Linked DNA regions of Sus scrofa. The protein of the gene in region 2 interacts with the protein of the main gene of each other region in a pairwise test. Links are inferred from orthologs where the notes say so. Each region holds a gene or a part of one and is shown on either strand. Other genes may lie near its edges.

Region 1 (3,647 bases), on a different chromosome or scaffold from region 2:
AGGTGGCAGTAATGAGGCCACCACATTCTACCCAGATCTGTGACCAGAGGACATTTCACTATGGTGAGTACCAAGGACTGGCACCCTCCCCCTGCCAATGACTAGACCGGAAAGCAGGCAGCAGTGTCCCCGTCCCTCCCAGCCAACAGACCCGCTGAGGTCCCGTGCCCTCTCCTTGGACTGCAGCCCTCACCTGCTTCCCCACATCTTGGCTCAGAGAGTGCTGGCAGACCGGGCAGCGGCATTATTCACAAACAAGGTGATGCTGCTGCCCTGGCAGCTTCCAGGCCTTCCAGGCTGGAGGCAGCTTTGGAGGTGTTCCCTTTGGAGGCGCTCCCTTTGGAGGTGTCTGCGGCTGCACCGGGGGCCTGTTGCAGAGCTGCTTGTGTTCTACTTACTGAAGGAGAGCTTAAAGGCAGCTAGTGCATCTCCAATTTATTTCTCTAAAAAACATTTTTAAAAATCTCCAATACCCTCTTAGGGCTCCATAGGGGAAAAATAAGCCATTCGGAAATTCTGAGCTCCTACTGCAATCATCCCAAGGAGATCCTGCAGGAGATCAGCTACAAGCGGTAACCAGTGCAGAGCTATTTCCATAGCAAAAGACTGTGCAGCCCTTACCTTCCTCGCGAGGACTGCAGCCCTCCTCCCCGCCACTGGGCTGTGAAGGCTGTGGCCTGGCCTTCCGCTGGTCAGGGAGTTAGAAAGCCATCCCTATAACTAGGATGGATCGGGGAACAGGAAGTGAGGAATCTCCTGCAAGGGAACCATAGCTGCCTCCATGTGCCGCTTCTCTCCACCTGGTGAGGGGAGCGCACCCATGGCCTCCCGCAATGGAGCAGACCCTGAGGTCAGCCAAGCACCTCTGGGAGCCTCTGAGTGAACTGGGTCAGCCCCCAGCATCTCCATGTCCCCCAGGCTGGGCAGCATGGGGCTGCATCACAGCCTGAACTGGCTGAGAAGCACAGCCCAGTGGCTGATGTCTCTTTTACCTGGCCAGGTGTGCCAGAGACACTTGACCATGAAGGCTGGGCAGAGTTTTAGTGCCTCAGTTTCTACATCTCTCAAATGGGATGATCACCCTGTTGCCTTGGGCCTGCATGCGAGCTTTCTTGGTAAACCGTAAATGCTTCCATGTGTAGCATTTTACTGTCACTCTTCGGAAAGGCAGAGATATGCACATGAGAGAATAAGTCAAAACAGCCAATCTTTGCTCTAGGAGCTGTTGCTTTCTCTCTCTCCCTTCCTTTCTCTCTCTCTCTTTCTTTCTGTCTCTTCCTTTCTTTTTTTCTTTTTTAGGGTGCACCTGCAGCATATGGAAGTTCCCAGGCTAGGGGGTTGAATCAGAGCTGTAGCTGCCAGCCTATGCCACAGCCACAGCAATGCTGGATCTGAGCCGCATCTGTGGCCTATGCTGCAGCTCACAGCCATGCCAAATCCTTAACCCACTAAGCAAAGCCAGGTATTGAACCCACATCCTCACAGACACTACATCAGGTTTTTAACCTGCTGAACCATGGCAGGAACTCCGAGGAGAGTCACTTCTTGTACTTGCAGCCAGCATAGGCTCGCCCTGTTCTCCTGCTTGGGGAAAAGCCACCTTATAGGATGGGGGATTGAGGAGGGCAGGGAGAACTTCTGTTTGAAAGCTGAGAAGCAGCTGAAGCCCACAGAGGGGATGGGAGTCTTCCAAAGGTAGGAAGCAGGGAAGCCAATGGCCAATACCTGTCCTGACCTGCCGGCCTATAACTACACACCCAGCTCTGGTCTTGGCATCAGCCTGAAGTAGCCCCTCTGGATCAGCCACTGTCCTATCTGGACAAGCAGTGGAAGGAAGTGGAGGCATCAGGAGTGGCCTCCAAGAACAGTAGGCAGGGGAGGAAGGGCCCAGCGAGGAGGGCCTGGCTGAGAATGAAGGGCTCAGGATGAGACCCCCAGAGGGCAGGACATCACAGAAGGAAGAGCCTTGCAGTGCAAAGGCACTTCTGGACGTGCTTCTTCCACTTAAAGACACTACAGGGGCGCAAGTACCAAGGGGACCAACCCAGGGACCAGCCACTCAGGGATCCTGGTCTCAGGAGGGTAAAACTAAACCAGAGCCCAAGGCCAGGCAAGGGAATCCCATTCCTAGCACAGGGGTGAGCTTTAGCCTCATGCATTCTCGTCCTGGCACTTCTGCGGTCTCACTGTGCAACTTGAAGCTCTCTGAGCCTCAGTTTACTCATCTGTAAAAGGATGGACCTCAAAGCTCAGAGGTTAGCTGGTCCCACCTCCCACTCAGCCAGCAGCATTCTTGAGACTTGGGATGCTCATCAGTGCACAAGGCAGGCCGCTCTCCATCAAACAGCTCCAAAACACTAGAGACCTCTTGCTTTTAATCAAATGGCATAATGGCTGTGAGAGTGCTTACAGAAATAAAAGCATCACTGAAGGGGGTTATTACTAACCATCAACATTAGAGGCAACATGAGAGAGGGTGAAATGGGGCTGGAGATGGGTTCCCCAAGCGCACCAGCGCAGCTGTGAGAGGGAACCGAGGAGGGGCGTGGAGGAACCCTGCGGGAACCAGGCTCTCTGGAGACAATAGACAGCAGCTGGAGAGGCTGCTCGGGTCCTGATGAGACTGAGAGCTACGTAACTGCTACAAAAGGAAGAAAGGGACCCAGCTCACTGGTGTCTCCTGTTTGCAGAAGGCACATCTCCAACCCAGAGCAGGAGACCCCCTGGGTCCCTAGGGGGAGTATATTTGTCCTGGAAGGCAGAACACATCTGCCCAGTGGCTCCTACTTCACAGTGGCAAAGAGCTCCCTATGAAGCCAGGGACTTGGGCTGGAGTCCACGTATAGAGGTCCTAGCGGAGGGTCTTGGGGGCAGCCAAGGCTGGCAGATGGAGAGGTGAGAGGGAGAGCTGGTAGTCCAAGGTGGCCCAGCTGGTACAGGGCTTGCTGAGGGGAAAGCCAAGACCTTCTACCTGCCAAGTGGAAGCCAGGGACCCGCTTGGCCCCTGGCAGGTGGCACAGCTCCAAATGGTTACCTTTCCAAGCTCAGTGCCCTGTATTCAGGAATCTCACACCAGAAAGCCCAACCCTGCCCTCTTGTCTTTGGGGCCCAACTCAGAGCCCCATGCCTTCGTGCGCTGTGATCCCCACTCAGGAAGGGGAGCTCAGAGGGAGGATCTGCAGACAGAGGGCGGTGAGGGGCCAGGCAGCCTGGGTGCACTCACCTACAATCTCGTTCTCCTCTAGATTGATGGTCTCCAGCGCAGGCAGGGTGGTGAGCTGCTCGGGGAAGTCGTGGAAGTGATTCCGGGACAGGTCAATGGCCTTGAGGTGCTGAAGGGTGCTGACCTCGTTGGGCAGACGGTGCAGGAAGTTCCCTTCCAGGTGGAGTTCTGCGGGGGGCGGTAGGGTAGAGGGAGAAAGAGAGAGGAGGCGTGAAAGAGAAGCAGCCCAGAGACCACAGTGACCACTAGCCGCCTGGACCCAGAAGGCAGAAAGGAAACCCAGGCGAAATGGAAGTCCCCAGAGGGGCTAATTCCACATTAAGGCAAAAGGAGGGGTAACCCCCAGCATGGCTACCCATCACTCCAGCTGGACCCCTACTTCTGGCTTTGGGATGGAAGGCTCTCTCAACAGATCTGCTGGCTC
Region 2 (3,647 bases):
CCCGCGGGGGTCCCTCCTGACAGCAGACCATCGGCCGCGGCCGCCAGGACGCAGGTTTCCCCCGGCTACACGAAGCCGCCGTCCCGGAGGCCGAAATAGCCGGCGTGGACGGCATCCCCCAGCGGGAACACCTGCTCGTGGTCCAGGCCCCACTCGCCCTCGTCCTCGTCCTCCAGCTCGGGCTCGGCGGCGGCGGCGGCGGCGGCAGCGCGCGCGTTCTCGTACAGGAAGATCTGCTCGTCCACGTGCGCGGGGGCCAGGCGGTTGCGCTTGGCGTGCACCGCGTTGGCCGCGGAGCAGAAGAGGCGCTCGGGGAAGACGCGCGTGGCCGCCACGCACCAGTACTTCTGCAGCACCTTGGGCAGCACGGGGAAGAGGGCCAGGCGGTCGGACCACCACTTGAGGGGGTCCTCGTTGAGTCCCAGCACCTTCTGGGACTTGAAGTTGCTCAGCTCCTCCACCACCTGCGCGTGCCACTCCTCCTGGTCCTCCACGCCCCCCGTGGGGCAGAAGATCTCGGCCAGCATGGTGTTGATGACGCTGGTGGGCGGCGGCGTGGGCGACAGCGCCGGCTTCTTGGCCGGGGGCTCCTCGGGCATCGGGTAGGGCTTGTCCTCGGGAGCGCCGCGGTAGCTGCCGTCCTTGACCTTGTCCAGGAGCCCCTTGGCTTCCTCCACCACCCTGTTTTCCACCTGCTGCCTCTCGAAGGCCGACAGGAAGGGCAGCCGCTTGTAGCGCGGGTCCAGGAAGGTGGCCACGTTGAGAAACATGTCGATCTCGGGCATCTCCTGGTAGGTCTTGGAGAGCTCCTTGGCAATGACCTCCTTGGCCATGCTGATCTCCTTGGAGTCCGTCTCCTTGATGGTCAGGGTGGTATTGAGGAGCATGTGCAGCAGAGGCTTCACCATGCTGATGGTCGGGTGCCTGGAGGCCGACAGCATCTCGGCCACCTGCTTGAAGGGCTGCAGCAGGTCCACCAGCCCCTCGATGCTGGCCCACTCGGCCGCCTCCAGCATCAGGTGGTGGTTGTTGCTGTCCTCCAGCAGGACGCCGGCGATGGCGAACTGCTGGTCCTTGAGCCGCTGCAGCATGGCCAGCGTGCTGCCCCACCAGGCCACCCGGTCGCTGACCAGCATGCAGGGCGCGGCGTGCTGCTGCTTCTGCTTCTCGTACAGCAGGTACATGGCCACGGTGGACTGCTGGAAGTACTCCACCAGCTTGCGGCAGCGGGCCAGCAGCGCGCCCAGCTTGGGCAGCCGGAAGGCCTGCTGGAGGCCGGCGTCGAACGTGTGCGCCAGGCAGGGCATCTGCACGGTAATGTCCAGCAGCGAGCAGGCCTTGGCGACGTCCTTGCCGCGGTCCGTGGTGGCGCCGAACACCTTGGAGCTGACGCCCCACTCGATGAAGGCCTCGTACAGGACGCGGGTGATGGTCTCGGCCGCGTTGTCCTCGGGCACCTCGAAGGTCTTGAGGCAGCGGGAGCCCAGGGCCAGGCCTTGCGGGGCGGCCCCGCCGCCGCCGCCACAGCCGCCGCCGCCGGAGAGGAAGTGCGCGGCCAGGGTCACGTAGGTCCGGTTCTGGCTGGGGCTGCGCCACAGGTCCGTGGAGACGCCGCACCACGCGGCCTCCGCCAGCTCCTTGAGCACCGCGTCGCGCACGGCGCCGTAGCGCTCGGGGATGGCCTTGCTGCAGAAGAACTTGCGGCTGGGCAGCTCGTAGCGCGGCTCGGCCGTCTTCAGCAGCCCCCTGAAGGTGGGCTCGTCCACGATGGACGCGGGGTACAGCCCCTCGCAGATGAGGCCCAGGACGGCGGCCGTCAGCTCCTGCTGCTTGCGGCCCTCGTGGCCGTGCGCGCCCTTGGCGGCCAGCGGTTCCTGCGCGCTCTGCTGCGCCGCGTCGGGCTTGAGCTTGGAGAAGGCGCTGGCGAAGGCCTCGCGCATCTGCTCCGTGTTGCTCTTGACGAACTCACAGAACTCGTCCGGGTGGTTCTTCTCCAGGTGGTACGAGAGATTGGACGTGTTGCCGGAGTAGGCGATCTGCGCCATACAGATGCGGCAGTAAATCTTCTTCCACTGCAGGATGCAGCCCTCGGCGTTGGTGTCGAAGCCGAAGTACCGCCACACCTTGCTCTTAGCGCGAGGGTGCGCCACGAGTTTGAGGTCGGCCTGCGCGCCCTCCAGGCTCTTGGCCTCCATCGCGCCGCCGCCAGCACCGCCGGGGCCCCCGCCGGGCCTCTGCTCACTCGGGGTGACCTGCCGAGAAGCAGCGAGACAAACACAGCGTGAGAAGAGACGGGGGCTCGGCCGGCGGGGAGCTGGCCCGGGCGGCGCGGCTTCGGAAGCGAGGGCGCGCGCAGAGGGACCCGGGGTGGGCGCGGTGGCGCGTGGCTTTGGCAAAGCGGAGGGGACGTTCTGACAAGTGAGCGGCTCTTCCGTGCAGGTGCGTCTGAAGACACGCATGTGTTACCTTTCCCTTCTGGATCGGCTGTGGACTCCTGGTCACACTCTGTCCTCACCCGGCCGCTCTACCAAGTTCTGTGCTAGGAACTCCCCCCGCCCAGCGCCAGCCAGCAGGGCTGGTTTTCCAGGTGGAGGCCGCGGTCGCAGGGGCCACGCCAGCCCAAGACCCACAGCCCGCGCCTGAAACCTCCCCGTCGGCAAGCACGCAGGTGACCCGCCACCAGGGGAAGTGGCTCAAATCACATGAGTTAGCACAAGCAGTGGGGAACTTGGCAGAGGCAGCAAAGAAAAGCTTGTTTGAGTTTTCTGTTTTTAAATGATGCCCTTTTGACCCCAACGAGATTCCACGTTTTGTTCATCAAAAAGAACACAGATAACACGTGTTGGGGAGGGGGGAAGAAAAGGGAACCCACCTACACTGGGTGGGAACGTCAACTGGTGCAGCCACAATGGAGGACAGGATGGAGGCGCCTCAGGAAATTCAATACAGAGCGACCGTAGGATCCAACGATCCCACCCCCAGCATCTAGCCCAATAAACCAAAAACACTGGTGTGCAAAGCTCCCTGCACCCCAATGCTCACAGCAGCACTGTCTACATTTGCCAAGACACAGAAGCAACGTAAGCATCCACGGATAGAAGAATGGACAAAGAGGAGATGCTGCGTGTGTACAATGGAATATTACTCAGCCATAAAGAGGAATGAAATCATGCCATTTGTAACACCATGGAGGGACCCAGAAATGATCATGCTAAGTGAAGGAAGTCAGAGAAAGACAAGTATCGTATGATATCACTTATAGGTGGAACCTAAAACTTAAAAAAAAAAAAAAAGGAGTATAATAGAAACAGATTCACATTTACAGAGAAGCAGCTAGTGGGGGAGAGGGAAGGGGAGGGGCGAGAGGGAAGGGGAGGGGCGAGAGGGAAGGGAGGGGCGAGAGGGAAGGGGAGGGGCGAGAGGGAAGGGGAGGGGCGAGAGGGAAGGGGAGGGGGCGAGAGAGGGGCAGGAGATTAAGACGCACGCACCCCCACGTATGAAAGAAGTAATTAAGCTGCGAGCATACAGAGCACACTGGCGTGGAGCACAGGGAACCGTGCCCACGATTCTGTGATCGTCTACGCGGGAAAAGAATCTCAAAGAGAATGCATGTGTGGACAGAGATCCCTGAGTCACGCTGCTGCGCA

The links.
Region 1: the proteins of ZBED1 (region 2) and LRRC20 interact in binary tests that used the Homo sapiens proteins (3 or more experiments, as listed by UniProt). The two-hybrid records come from large-scale screens. The link is inferred for Sus scrofa from reciprocal best matches to the Homo sapiens genes ZBED1 and LRRC20.

What each region holds. Positions count from the first base shown.
Region 1 is NC_010456.5:73,237,601-73,241,247, forward strand, and holds part of LRRC20 (leucine-rich repeat-containing protein 20), read right to left. Parts: intron 3,392-3,647; coding exon 3,224-3,391; intron 1-3,223.
Region 2 is NW_018085344.1:625,707-629,353, forward strand, and holds part of ZBED1 (zinc finger BED domain-containing protein 1), read right to left. Parts: intron 2,256-3,647; exon of another isoform or gene 2,253-2,255; 5' UTR 2,196-2,252; coding exon 66-2,195; 3' UTR 1-65.